Xenopus tropicalis: one gene and its partners. The protein of the gene in region 3 purifies or fractionates together with the protein of the main gene of each other region. This does not show direct contact. Links are inferred from orthologs where the notes say so. Each region holds a gene or a part of one and is shown on either strand. Other genes may lie near its edges.

Evidence for each region.
Region 1: the proteins of tsen15 (region 3) and tsen54 purify together in Homo sapiens (affinity purification with mass spectrometry; 4 studies listed by BioGRID and IntAct, counting the BioPlex papers as one, with this or other methods). This does not show direct contact. The link is inferred for Xenopus tropicalis from reciprocal best matches to the Homo sapiens genes TSEN15 and TSEN54.
Region 2: the proteins of tsen15 (region 3) and clp1 purify together in Homo sapiens (affinity purification with mass spectrometry; 4 studies listed by BioGRID and IntAct, counting the BioPlex papers as one, with this or other methods). This does not show direct contact. The link is inferred for Xenopus tropicalis from reciprocal best matches to the Homo sapiens genes TSEN15 and CLP1.

What each region holds. Positions count from the first base shown.
Region 1 is NC_030686.2:44,545,752-44,550,526, forward strand, and holds the start of tsen54 (tRNA-splicing endonuclease subunit Sen54), read left to right. Parts: upstream 1-1,566; 5' UTR 1,567-1,723; coding exon 1,724-1,731; intron 1,732-3,558; coding exon 3,559-3,723; intron 3,724-4,775.
Region 2 is NC_030683.2:55,578,475-55,583,466, forward strand, and holds the start of clp1 (polyribonucleotide 5'-hydroxyl-kinase Clp1), read right to left. Parts: upstream 3,210-4,992; 5' UTR 3,148-3,209; intron 1-3,147. UniProt on the Homo sapiens protein: Polynucleotide kinase that can phosphorylate the 5'-hydroxyl groups of double-stranded RNA (dsRNA), single-stranded RNA (ssRNA), double-stranded DNA (dsDNA) and double-stranded DNA:RNA hybrids. dsRNA is phosphorylated more efficiently than dsDNA, and the RNA component of a DNA:RNA hybrid is phosphorylated more efficiently than the DNA component.
Region 3 is NC_030680.2:120,012,722-120,017,001, reverse strand, and holds part of tsen15 (tRNA-splicing endonuclease subunit Sen15), read right to left. Parts: intron 1,686-4,280; coding exon 1,550-1,685; intron 1-1,549. UniProt on the Homo sapiens protein: Non-catalytic subunit of the tRNA-splicing endonuclease complex, a complex responsible for identification and cleavage of the splice sites in pre-tRNA. It cleaves pre-tRNA at the 5' and 3' splice sites to release the intron.

The DNA of each region.
Region 1 (4,775 bases), on a different chromosome or scaffold from region 3:
GATGGATGGATAGATAGATAGAGGATCTATAGATAGATAGATAGATAGATAGATAGATAGATAGATAGATAGATAGATGATAGATAGATGATAGATAGATAGATACAGAGATGATAGATAGATATGATAGATAAGAAATAGACAGACAGGTATATAGAGAGATACTAGATAGACGATATATATATATATATATATATATATAGATGATTGATGAGTGATAGACAGACAGACAGACAGACAGAGAATATAACTGGGAACTAGGGTTGCCTGACGAAAGTCTTAGGTAAGGACTGAAACGTTGGAAATAAATCTCACCGCTTGCATCTGAAAAAGCCTTTATTGTTTTTGTGCTTAGATGATTAAATCCTATGAGTGCCGACACTTTTACTTGGCTGGAGATTTTCTTGCTCTGGCACCGAGGTTTAGTGCCATTATTTGGTGTGCTCCCCACTCTGGACTCTATATATATAGATAGATAGATAGATAGATAGATAGATAGATAGATAGATGATTGATGAGTGACAGACAGACAGACAGACAGACAGACAGAGAATATAACTGGGAATTAGGGTTGCCACTTAGCCCTACAATTCATGCTGGATCTCACTGTCAATAATAGGGAAAAAAGATAAATATATAGAAAGACCTGTATTTTTTCCCACAAAAGGTGTAAACTTTACATGCGACACACACAGGGGAATACCAAGCAGTAGTGAGAAGGTTGAATAAGTTCTAATTAATGTGAAATAAAGTGATAAAGCATAAGCGGGTAGCAGTTTAGGGGTGTTGGGGGGGCAGGGTACTGGGGGGGGCCCGGAGTGTTGGGGGGGCAGGGTACTGGGGGGGCCCGGAGTGTTGGGGGGGCAGGGTACTGGGGGGGGGGGGCCCGGAGTGTTGGGGGGGCAGGGTACTGGGGGGGCCCGGAGTGTTGGGGGGCAGGGTACTGGGGGGGGGGGCCCGGAGTGTTGGGGGGGCAGGGTACTGGGGGGCCTGGAGTGTTGGGGGGGCAGGGTATTGGGGGGCCCCGGGGTATTGGGGGGGCAGGGTACTGGGGGGGGCCCGGAGTGTTGGGGGGGCAGGGTACTGGGGGGCCCCGGGGTATTGGGGGGGCAGGGTACTGGGGGGGCCCGGAGTGTTGGGGGGGCAGGGTACTGGGGGGGGCCCGGAGTGTTGGGGGGGCAGGGTACTGGGGGGGGGGCCCCGGAGTGTTGGGGGGGCAGGGTACTGGGGGGGGGCCCGGAGTGTTGGGGGGGCAGGGTACTGGGGGGGGGGCCCGGAGTGTTGGGGGGGCAGGGTACTGGGTGGGCCCGGAGTGTTGGGGGGGCAGGGTACTGGGGGGGGGGGGGGCCCGGAGTGTTGGGGGGGCAGGGTATTGGGGGGCCCCGGGGTATTGGGGGGGGCAGGGTACTGGGGGGGGCTCGGAGTGTTGGGGGGCAGGGTACTGGGGGGGGCAGGGTACTGGGGGGCCCCGGGGTATTGGGGGGGCAGGATACTGGGGGGGGCGGGGTATTGGGGGGGGAGTCCTGCCCCACGTGGGGTGGAAGTGCCCTGAGTGCACACTGGGCTGAGCCTGTGAGTCCCGGCAGTTCCCACACTGTCCCGGCCTGAGAGACACGAATCCCGGGGCTGGCACAGCTCTCTATCCCTGGCACAGCTGCCCCCCCGCCCAGGGACTGCCTTATAAGCACAGCGGCTCGGATGTGGCGCACAGCCCGGTCTCACGATGCTCAGGTGAGTGCGGAGCCGCTTAGGCCGCAGAAGCCTCGGACTTTCCTGAAACCGGCACCGCGCTCGGCCACTCGCGTTGGAAGTGTTAGTGGGGCAGCGCGTTAGGGGTAGGGGGTTCCCAGTCGGAGGGTGGATACTGGGGGCTTATTGCCCTTTCCTCCTTGTGCTGTTACTGTACAACTTTATTATATACCTGTTTGCCTTATATACATGACTGCCCTGTGTGTGGCCTTACAGTAGAGGCCCCTAGCAGTGTATTGGCCCCCTAGCAGTGTATTGGCCCCTAGCAGCGTATTGGCCCCTAGCAGCGTATTGGCCCCCTAGCAGCGTATTGGCCCCCTAGCAGCGTATTGGCCCCCTAGCAGCGTATTGGCCCCTAGCAGCGTATTGGCCCCCTAGCAGCGTATTGGCCCCCTAGCAGCGTATTGGCCCCCTAGCAGCGTATTGGCCCCCTAGCAGCGTATTGGCCCCTAGCAGCGTATTGGCCCCCTAGCAGCGTATTGGCCCCTAGCAGCGTATTGGCCCCCTAGCAGCGTATTGGCCCCCTAGCAGCGTATTGGCCCCCTAGCAGCGTATTGGCCCCCTAGCAGCGTATTGGCCCCCTAGCAGCGTATTGGCCCCTAGCAGCGTATTGGCCCCCTAGCAGCGTATTGGCCCCCTAGCAGCGTATTGGCCCCTAGCAGCGTATTGGCCCCTAGCAGCGTATTGGCCCCTAGCAGCGTATTGGCCCCTAGCAGTGTATTGGGGGAAGAATTGCTCGTTTAGTGACCTCGCCAGACAAACAAATCTTACTGTGTATGGCCACCTTAAGGGTGAAGACACACAGAGCTACTTAGTAGCAGCTACACGTCACGGCTACTAAACATCAGAAAATCCCCTGCCAATCTCCTGACAATACTGAGAATTGCTTATAGCTTCTGATGAAGTGGCGTTGAGCCATGAAACGCGTTAAGCTGGGGGGGTTTCAGTTTCTCAATATGTTTTTAATGGAAGCAAGAAATAAAGGATAATTTTTTACTGAAAAAGTCGTCCTGGCGTGCTCCATCCAACAATGCTAACTTTTCTGCAGTACTGAGAATTGCCTTTGCTAAGGGCCGTTACAGACGGGGAGATTAGTCGCCCGTGACAAATCTCCCTTGTCGCGGGCGACTAATCTCCCCCAAATGCCATCGCTGGTGGGATGGCATACGCGGCGTGGCGATTTGCCTTGAGAGGAAACTTTGGCACTGTGTATGCTATCCCACCGGCGATTTACATTCTAGCTGGTTGGATGGCATTTCGGGGAGATTAGTCGCCCGCGACAAGGGAGATTTGGTGCGGGCGACTAATCTCCCCGTCTGTCACGGCCCTAAAACACACATAGAGACAATTATCAGTAAATGATCAGCATTGTCTATTTTAGTAGCCGTGACAGGTAGCTGCTACTAGTAGCTCTGTGTGTCTTCACCCTAAGGGCTCTGGCACACAGGGCGATTAGTCGCCGCAACTTTTTGATAATTTGCGGCATCTAATAGGTGAGATGCAGTTGTACTCTATGCGCAGAAAGTCGCAGCAATTAGTCGCCGCGACTGAGTTAATTAAAACTCAGTCGCACCGACTAATCGCCTCGTGTGTCTTTGGCGTAAGTCAGTAAGATCTGGGCACCTTATGGTATCAGTGACGTGCGGACAGGACATATAAACCCAGATATTATGACATAGCCCATTGGGTCCTGGATTTAAGCAAAGCCCTTATAACTATTGGCACTGCTGGCGCTAGTGTTAAGTAGTGTATCTATCTGGCAATGTCTATAAAATGTCCCATCAAATAAAGTGTTTACTTTCCCTACAGCCCAGAGGAACTGCTTGCCGCCAGGAGCCGTGAGAAGAGCATCCCTCAGCGCTCCCATGGGCAAAAGGACTTTCTGCCCGACGGCTCCGAGGCTCAGAACGAGAAGCTGCGGCTGTGCCGCGCCGAGCAATGGGAGCTGCTAAAAGAGGAGCGTGTGGAGCGATTGTGAGTGTTTAGGGGTGCCCTCCATGTGTAGGGAAAAGGGATATTCAGGGTGGATATATATATATATATATATATATAGCAAATTATGTGCACTTCATTTGATAAGGTTACATGCCTAGATGCAGGAGTCTACTGGAAATGATAGAACAATGTGTAACACTGCACTCACGGGTCTTTAGTGAAAAGCAAAAAATCTATTTATTAAATCAATTAATTTCTTTTTTGCTTTTCACTAAATACCTGTGAGTGCGGTGTTACATGTTGGCCTATATACATATATTTATTTATATATATATTGTTGCTATCTGGTAGTGATTAAACTCCGTATTGTTTGCTTGCACTAGTATTGTCTGTGCCTGGTTTATAAATACCTCATTAGTAACAGGAATTACCTCTCTTCCCCATGTTTTGTCTGGCTGCCTTAGAACAACAGCTGATCTACTCTCCCTAGCATTTCGGGTAGCTTTTAGAACTGGATCATTTTACTCACATAACCCATCAGGATGTATTCTTTCACCATTTTGACCTTGGTAAAAATTGCTGCCTCTGTGGTTACTGACTCGCTCGCTCTTCCTGCCAGCCAGGCCTGGACTTGGACCCCACTGTGGGGGTCTCTGGGGTGGCAGCCCCGGTGGGCTCTGCTCCCCCCAGTCCGACCCTGGATGCCAGCTTTAAAATAGGGAGCAATAGACCCAAAGTTTATACAACGAGGACTAGGTACCCCTGGAGGTGGGTTGGGATTTCACTTTTGGTGTCATTATCATTGTTATCTTATTGGGCATTGCATATTAAATCATTGGAAAGGCTTAAGGTACCCATACACTGGCAGATTGTAGCTGCCAATATTGGTCCCTTAGACAGATTCGGCAGCTTATCGGCCCGTGTATTGGCACTACCAATGGGCCTGCCCGACCGATATCTGGCCTGAAATTGGCCAGATCTCGATCGGGCAGGTTAGAAAATCTAGTGGTATCTTGGACCGACTTTTGCTATACCCCCAGGGCCAAACGATCGAATTATCGTGGATTCTCCCGATATCGCCCACCCGTAGG
Region 2 (4,992 bases), on a different chromosome or scaffold from region 3:
ATTGCAATGCTAAGGTTGACTGACATAACTGGGCCACATGGGACATAACTGTTGTACTGTAAAGTACTTAAGACATTAAATTTTGAATGTGCAGACTTTGGCAGTAAAAGGGCATCTCTGCAACAATATAATTGGGAAAGTCTTTTCACAGGATTAAACAAAAAAGGAAAATAAAATATCTTCAAAATGCTACTTTACTAATATACCTGACAGTATATTCCCCTTGTAAGTAAGGACAGAAATAGCAAAGCAAAACTATTATGATTTGATAGAAGGGTTAGTAAGGAAAGGTTGGTAAAGAAAAATGTATATTTAAGAGATCCAAGGTTAGCTGGGACAGCTGGAAATTTTCTTTGATACAAAGAGGCTAATATAGTGCGCAAACACTAATTAGGCAAGATAAAATAGAGAGGAAAGGGCATTGCAGTGGAGTAAAACAAAATTATTTTTAGATGTGCAAAATAATTTATAAATGAAGCAAGAATGGTGAGAGTATCAGAGGTAAGTAAATTGTTAAGTAAAAGCACAGTCATTTTTCATGTTTTTACACAACTAAGGAACCAGTTAATGAAGGTTTCCTTTTTAACAGACTGAATACTAATAATTTAACTATGGATGGCTAGTTGATGGAATTCAAAAGAGACTAGAACATGTGAAATAAACAAAGGTCTAGGACCTGAGGGTAGTCACTCCAGTGTACTTTAATAAACATACTAAACAGCCAAAGATAGACCGCAATCATAGAGCTAAAGTTAATGACTTTGAGGTTAGCATTGGAAGTACTTTTTTGTTGATGATACTAGATTGTGAAAAACAATTTTGCAGCAGGATGTTGCCACTTTTCAGAGAGATTTGACTAAACTCAAGAAGTACTAAGGCAAAAAAAGTCTTACATTAAAAAAAGGAATTAACTCAAGGGAAGAAATATGTATGTAATTTTGCCTCTTAATAGATCACTGGAAAAGCCTCATGTTAATAACGTAGAAAGGGTGCAGAGATGTGCAACTAAGCAGGTAAAAGGGAAGATAGCACAAGGAAAGTCTAGAGAAATGGTGCTTGGAAGGGTACCAGTACTCTTTACAAGTAAATTAGGGCAATATAAACAGTGCTTTTTTTTTTTTACATAGAAAACATTAAAGAACAAGAGGTCCCTATTTAGGATTGATAAACTCAATTCTAGCAGAAGATAATTAAATTTTTTTTTTTTCTTTTTATATGCACTTTATTAGTCAGCCAGTACCTTTAGATGATATATGGAAGATCTGGAAAATACACTTTTCATTCAATAAAGATAATTTTTAAAGTGATGCTGCAGCAACTCTACCCTGGGTGATGTGATGGCAGATTTTTCACTGCATTGTTTATACCAGTAATCCCCATGTATTGTTCACAGCTTTAAGACCCTGTTTTGTTCACACCTTTTAGTCCCTGCATTGTTCACAACTCAGGCTCAGACTGTAAAAACCCACATTGTTAACATCTCAGACAGACTGTAGGAAGAGTGCCAGCATTGTGTCACTGTATGTACTGACTGCCCGTGCTGCCTGTGTGTGCCATACTTTGCCTGCCCTATGCTGCCTGTGGGAGGTGAACCTGGCAGGGGATTGTTCTGGGAGTTTGTTTGCATTTGGAAATAGTCATTATATGGTCCCTAAGGTGTGCAATTATGTGCTGGGAGTTGCTGCGCTATCCACAGGGGAGGCATATGGATTTAAGGATATGTCTTAATAAACTTCTTTCACATAAGAATGCAGGGTGATATCCCTGCAGTGAGCACCAACCATTTGGGTTTTTGCTGCACTACCACCAATTAATGTGGGTATGGCCTAAAAAGCTCTTATGATAACATGGGTGTGGTTTGAAGTGGGTGCAGTTTAAAAAAGGGAAGTGGTCAAAACTGGCTTCAAATATCGACCCTTCACCATGTAGGCCAAAAAAATTCCGGCCCTCGGTACCACAGAAGTTAGTTAACACTGCAATAAAGTATTTAAAACTTAGAAATAATTACACAGCATGATTAACGCTCAAGTTTTTTAAACTGAAGATAAAACATTTTAGGGCAAAAATAACACTACACACAAAAATGGGCAAATTGATTTTCTATATCTGTGTACACTTGGCCAGTTGTGCATTGTGTGTAAGCCACAGAAAACATACATTAGTGCAGCACGCATATATTCTGGAGCAGCGGCATTAACAGTAGTACATTCTAAGAAAACTTCTAGGAGCACTCTGTTCAGGTGTGCTCCCAAGGAAATAATTAATGTACAATGCATGTAATGTATGCTTTAAAGTTGAAAGAACAGCATGCTCTTGGGAGAAGATTTAATGAAGCAGGCTATCTGAAATAAAAATGAGACAGAGGGTCATATCACACCACCCTATATCACTTGCTAGATAACAATTCTGTATAGGCAACAGTAGGCAAAGTTTAAACAATAGTGTCCAAGGGCCCTTTCACTGTCAAGGAATAAAGGAATTGGTATAAAACTTACTACCCTGCCCAAAATGGCAGCAGATTTTACTTTCATATTCTGTGGTTTTATTTGTTTTACCAGTTTAGTTGCACATCTTTTCACTCTTTCCACATCATTAATATCCTTCTTAAGTACTGGGGCCCAAAACTGCACAGCATAAGGTGAGGCCTCACCAGTGATTTCTAACTATGCAAAATGATATGATGTTTGTATACCTTGAGTCAATTGCCTTTTATATGCAAGACAGTACTATAACCCCGTTAGTAGACACCTATGGATTAACTGTGTTTTCCCACCCACACCTTAGCATCAAAAACCTTGAAACTGTCAAACACTTAAAGGGGCAGTAAATCCAACATGGGTTTAATGAAAAAGGTTTGCTCTAAACATTGAGTAACTTCAAGTTCACTTTTTAGCTAAAAAAATATATATATATATTTTTAATTATCAAAACAACAGTTAAAAAGCATGTTCAGACTTTTTAATTAAACCTATTTTGAAATGTGGTATACGGTCCGTTTAAGTTTACAATTTCTATTCAATCGGCGATCCTCTACCCTTTATGCGCACCATAAAATACCTAATAAACTAGATGGAATTACTCTACTTGTAAATGTAAGGAAATGCAAATAGAGAGACTCCTTCCCAAGCACTACAGAGGAAAGCATACCACCAGGCCGCAGTGCCAAATCTCCGATTAAAAGTTCCTCAGCTCAGTTAGAGTCTCGCTCGTTGTCTTCACGCTGGCCACTAATTCAGACGTCACAATCTCATCTCGCGAGACTGCACGTCACATCCCGTATCCAGAGGCGCTCGCTGCTAGTGCCAAGGGGCCGCTTGCCTCTGGGTGGTTATGGACGTATTATTTATAAAGTAAATAATATAAAATAAACTCAGTGGGATACGGTCTTTCAGTGAGTGAATGGATGAATAAATAAATAAATGAGTGAGTGTCGGGCTTAGAGGTCAGTGTGTATTGGGGGAGTGCAGTGAGACACACTTGAGTAGGTGCTATGATCAGTGACTATAGGACTGAACTATTTGGTTGTTTTTCTTGTGGAAGCTCTGCCATTGCTGCGCTCGGTGAGTTTGGGGGTGCGCTTGAGGGATACTAGAGTTGAATCAGTTTTATAGTGGGATTTTTTTGTTAGATGATGCATTAAGTGGAGCCTGTGGGTCTCATTTATTTACAGGTATTGGCATTCTGAGGGATGTTGCCCTCAATATTTTTTTTTTTGGGGTGGAAGAGGTGTACATTTTATACATTTTGTATGGGGTTTGGGGTGGGGTTTTTTTTTCCTCTGTAGGGAAAATGAAAATTTTGGCATATGATTGGATATTTTGGAGTGTACTTTTTTGATCCTCAGGGTGTGGGGAGTTTTGGGGTGTGCTGCAGGTTTTTTGTTTGGTGAAATGTTGGAGTATGATGCATTTTTTGTGCTGTGTTTAGCAAGCACTATAGAACCTTGTGTATCATTTTATGCCTAGACCCTCAATAACACTTTTCAATAATCACTACAGCGCTACACAGAAATATCTGTATAGACTTTCTGTGGTTCTGGACACAAACAGATCAGCAAAGGAAAATTTTAAAGGTTTACTTTCCCTTTTAAACTTGCAATAAAAAAAAAATAAACAAATTAACAAATAACCTTGTACAATATTGTCAGTAGTAGGAAATCGCTAAAGTCTAAAGGTAACGTGTTACTGAATAAACTAACCCTAGACCAGGGAAAAAAATGACCTGTCCCTGAAGTACTGCACAATTCCTCATTTAAATTTTATATCTGCAGAAAAGAATATATATATATATAATTAACGATTATCGTAATCCCATTAATAGGGCACAAATAGTACTAAGTAACAATAATAAGTGCTAAAGGGCACAAAGTATCCTTTGGGGAAAATGTTTTAAGCATTTGGGATAGGTTGTATATACATGGACTCATTTTAAGATTTCTCTATTTTTTACAGATTTGATTACCGTATATACTCGAGTATAAGCCGACCCGAATATAAGCCGAGGTACCTAATTTTACCTAAGAAAACTGGAAAAACTTATTGACTCGAGTATAAGCCTAGGGTGGGAAATGCAGCCGCTACTGCTAAGTTTCAATAATCAAAATAAATACAAATAAAATGACAGCTCCCCTCAGCGTCCTCCCCAACATCCTCCAGCTCCCCTCAGTGTCCTCCCCACCATACTCCAGCTCCCCCCAGCATCCTCCCCACCATACTCCAGCTCCCCCCAGCATCCTCCCCACCATACTCCAGCTCCCCCCAGCATCCTCCCCACCATACTCCAGCTCCCCCCAGCATCCTCCCCACCATACTCCAGCTCCCCCCAGCATCCTCCCCACCATACTCCAGCTCCCCCCAGCATCCTCCCCACCATACTCCAGCTCCCCCCAGCATCCTCCCCAACATCATCCAGCTCCCCCCAGCATCCTCCCCAACATCATCCAGCTCCCCCCAGCGTTCTTCCCAGCATCCCCCGGCTTTCTCTCCAACATTC
Region 3 (4,280 bases):
TTAGAATTGCTTTGTACATATTTTAGTGGAAACTAATCAATAAATAATAAAAATACTGGCACCATAGTTACAAAACTGCAGCTTGGAAACATAGACATTGTATGAGAAACATTTTTCACCCCAGATCAAATGTACAATTATGGGCCAGGCTTGCATGGTAACTGACCAGTTGGGCTGCAGGTAGCATGGATGTGAGAGTGACCACCCTTGCATTGTTCTGTCCATTGAGGACAACTGTGGCTCCACTTCACTTTTTTTTAGCCAATCCGCAGAAGTTTTCCTATAATCTTATATCATTTTAAGCTGCCCTTCCAATGTCTATACGTGCCTAGATGGTTAGGCGTTTATGCTTGAAATCTAGGCAGGTATGGCCATCTTATGTTCTCTGGAGCAGCAGCACTGATTTGTAACTTCCATTTGGCTAGTTCATTCCTGGGATCAGGCAGCTCTGCACAATAGTGATGTGTGCTTCGACAAAAAGACAACCTACACCTGACCTAACCAGACCGCTCCCAACCCGAACCCTACCTGACATGTTGTGCTATCAATACTTATTACCCACACTGCCCCCACCCCACTTGTGACATCAAAAAAAGGAAGGGGGGCTATGCAGGTGCAAATATATAAATATAGTGACAACTGGAGGTGAAAGCAGGATATAATGATGTCACAGACAGGGTGGGCCAAGGACAGAGTTCAGTTGCCAATTGGATGTAGTTTTATGGCTTGAACTTGCCCCCCCTGCTGGTTTCGGGGTGGCTAGGACATCACTGCTGTACAAGTTTAGTGCCTTCTGGACCTCTGTGGGTGGCAATGGCAGACACTGAGATGCTTAAAAACATTTTGCACAATAATAGGCAACTATATTCTAAGTAATTTTCCAATATGCACAAATTGCAAATTTCCAATGATGTTTTCAATACTTTGCTACTAAAAGCAGTTTCTAATCTATCTGTATTTGTGCATTCTTTGCACAGCTGTTTCTGACTACATGATCTCCTACAGCCAATACTCCATTACCCGCAATGCCTTTCAGACTTTTTTTAATAAATTTAACATCACTCATGTATATCAGAAGGTTAATTTAAATTGTCTGCTTTCATTATGTAAAAGTTTACATTTGGGTTTACAGCTCCTTTGATATTATATTTTTTTTGTATATTCTTTATAGAACAAACATTTCTTTTCATTTTAATTCTACAGAATAGAAAAAGTATTGAAAAACAAAGCTCATATGACACTTTACGTAGGTCAGGATAACATTCTTCGATTGTAAATTTTAATGCAATATGGACAGTGGTATTCTAAGACAAATTTGAACAGGTCTTCAAATTTAATTTTTTTATACTTTTTGAATTACTTTCAGTTTTGTCATGCAGCTGTGAGGGTTGGCAAGGAAAGGGTTTAATCCCCAACTGTGAATATATCAAATATATTCAGAATTTTTAAAAGTAAGAATTTCACTAAGTTGCAAAAGTATTTTACATTTGTTTGTCCGGGAAATAGATGTGTTAACTATCACAATAATGAAGCCCTAGTGGTTACCTACCTCTCATGACTGTATGACATGGATACTGGAGTCGGTATTATCAACTGTGGTATACAGCCTTCTTTCTCCAGTCCGTGTAAGTAGATAAGATGAAGTTCTGATGAGCCATGAATCTTCACATCATGCCAGTTTCTTACTGTAGGAATAATTTAAATATAAAAACATTAACAGGACAAGTCCTCTGAATTTAAAGGCAATTTTTGTTTTATATAATACAAAAAAACAAAACAGTTTTTGGACTTGGATCACCTTTAAACTGTATATTTACCAACAGCTGTTTCGAATGACTATTGGTACACATGTTGCCCCTCCAAGCCAGACTGATATCCATGTACTTTGGATACTGGTCAGTACCGTAATCGGTTACAAAATTTCAACTACTGATGCACCAAGTCATGGTGTTTGTATATTGCACTAGGTGATCACCACCAAAAAAGAACATTCAAACCAAGTAGGGGGAACAGAGAATTAAGCTATGAAGGCATTAACCCTTTAACTCTCTAAAGCTTTGTTTATACTGTGTGACAATCCCTAACTGACCCAAACAGGATTTACATTCCTAAGGCTTGACCTGCCAAGTCAATAAGCAAATGCATCCAAATGGGTATAACTAGACACATCAAGGCTTCTGTGTGCAAATTGGGAGTGGCAGCATGATATTAGGAATGTTAACGCATGGTTAGGGAATAAATGCAGATGGAAGTCTCCCTTTCATTGCACCCAATTTTATTTCACATTAATTGCAAAATGCAATTTGTTTGTCAACAGGATGAAATATGAGTGTACCTGGAATCCCAGAACCTAGGTGTGTCTGAGGTGTCACAGATATCTGCCAATCTCAGAGGTTATTTTGGGTGTGACATTGCACAATTGTGCCAAGATACATTTGTAAACACAAAGAAAAGCAAGAATCACTGGCCCAAAACTTGTTACGATTGCCATTTTGTTCATATCACAAAATGGAATGGAATAATGGAATACTATTGTATTGTTCTAAGTAAAAGGGTGTGTGGCTTTCATTGTTGTAAGCAAAAAACAGGAATTTCAGCAGCAAAATAGAAATTCTAGAACACCAGAAAGCAGCACATCGTTATTGCACTTGTTTCCCACTAATATGTTACCTTTCACTACTGTGTTAGAGGAAATTCTCCACTCTTAACCTCTTCCTTTCCATGTCTACTCTAGAAGCATCCTCACCTTTTATCCACATACACAACAGTCTCTCCTTCCCTGCATTTCATTTTCTCCCCTCCAACAGCTGCATCTACAGTTCCCCTAGGCCCTGACATACCCATCCCTTTTTCATCATTTGAACATGCCCCACCCAGCAACTGTCTCTGAAAACTGGCCTCACTACTTCCAGTCTCTTAGTAAAATGCCCTATATTTTGTGCATATGTTTCATTAAACGTGGTTTGATATATGATTAGAGAACCTATTAAGAAAATATTAAGGAAGGTTTAATGAATCGCAGTAAAGTAGTATTAGTGAATAGCAAAAGAACAGACCCTCATAGCCACTCCACAACATATAATCCCGACAGAGCCATTATGAATAATTACATTATTATATATTATCATGTTATTTGTCCCAGGCTCACTGTACGCTGTTTGACAATGCATGGGTTAAATGTTTGCCTGCAGCACTGTATAAGCCCCCTACTGCTCTCTAAGTGCTCACAGTAATTGCCAATTATAGAAGTTAAAATAATGTGCATAATACACATTCAGAATAGGGCACATGCATGTATATTAAATGCCAATGTCAGCATTATAACAAAGCAAAAAGGGGGAAGAACAGCGGTGCTGCTCAATGGGGTGTCAAACAGAACACCACAAATAATAATTTCTTTTAAGTGCATTCTATTTTCTAATTTACTAACATTTTAAATATGAATTAGTTTTTCCCCCACTTCTCAGGGTTCCCAGTAGCAGGTAAGTAGGGCAGAATGCTGACTTCCTTACAGTTTGATTCATTATTTTATACACTGCACAGCAGCAGCTTCAGCTCCTACTGAGCACACTCCCCATGCTTTAATAAATCCACAAATCCATATTGCAATGGATACACTGGGTCAGATTGAGTTTGATAAGAAACATTTAGCACAAGAAAACTCCATTAAACTCTATGTGGAAATCTGGAATGGAACCAGGAGATAAGTTTATTTGTTGCATAATATTTACATCAAGGAAGGCAGACATTTTTCAGACTTTGCACACTGCCTTTATCTGTTGTATTGCCACAAGTCTCTGTGCTCTGTTTCAGAACAAAGGGACCTGTGACTATCCCCATGAATACAGTGCCGTCTCTGTTTAGAAGCACTGTATTCATGAGGGGAGGGCAACGGGAGGCATGTAGGCATTCCCCCCAGACCGTTCCCTAAATTGTGCATCATTTATTCAATTTTTATGCGCCATGAGGTGTACAAGAGCTATTCCCTCAAGTGCTCTGTGCATGAAAACTAAGGGTGCACCCTTATAAGTTTGGTAAGAACATATTCCCTTATATGCATGGCTGCATACTCTGTGTAACACTGGTCACCCCAGCTTCCCCACTCAACTCAACTGTCATCTCTCTTTAGTCTCACATGCTTACTCAGGTGGCAACAGGGGGTTACCAGCTCCTGCTCTATATTGCACTTGTTTTCCCCCCACTTTCTGTGCCATGTTGTGTGACTTTTTGTGCACTGACTGCTACACTGTTTACATGGGTTGCCATAACAGGGGCTTATA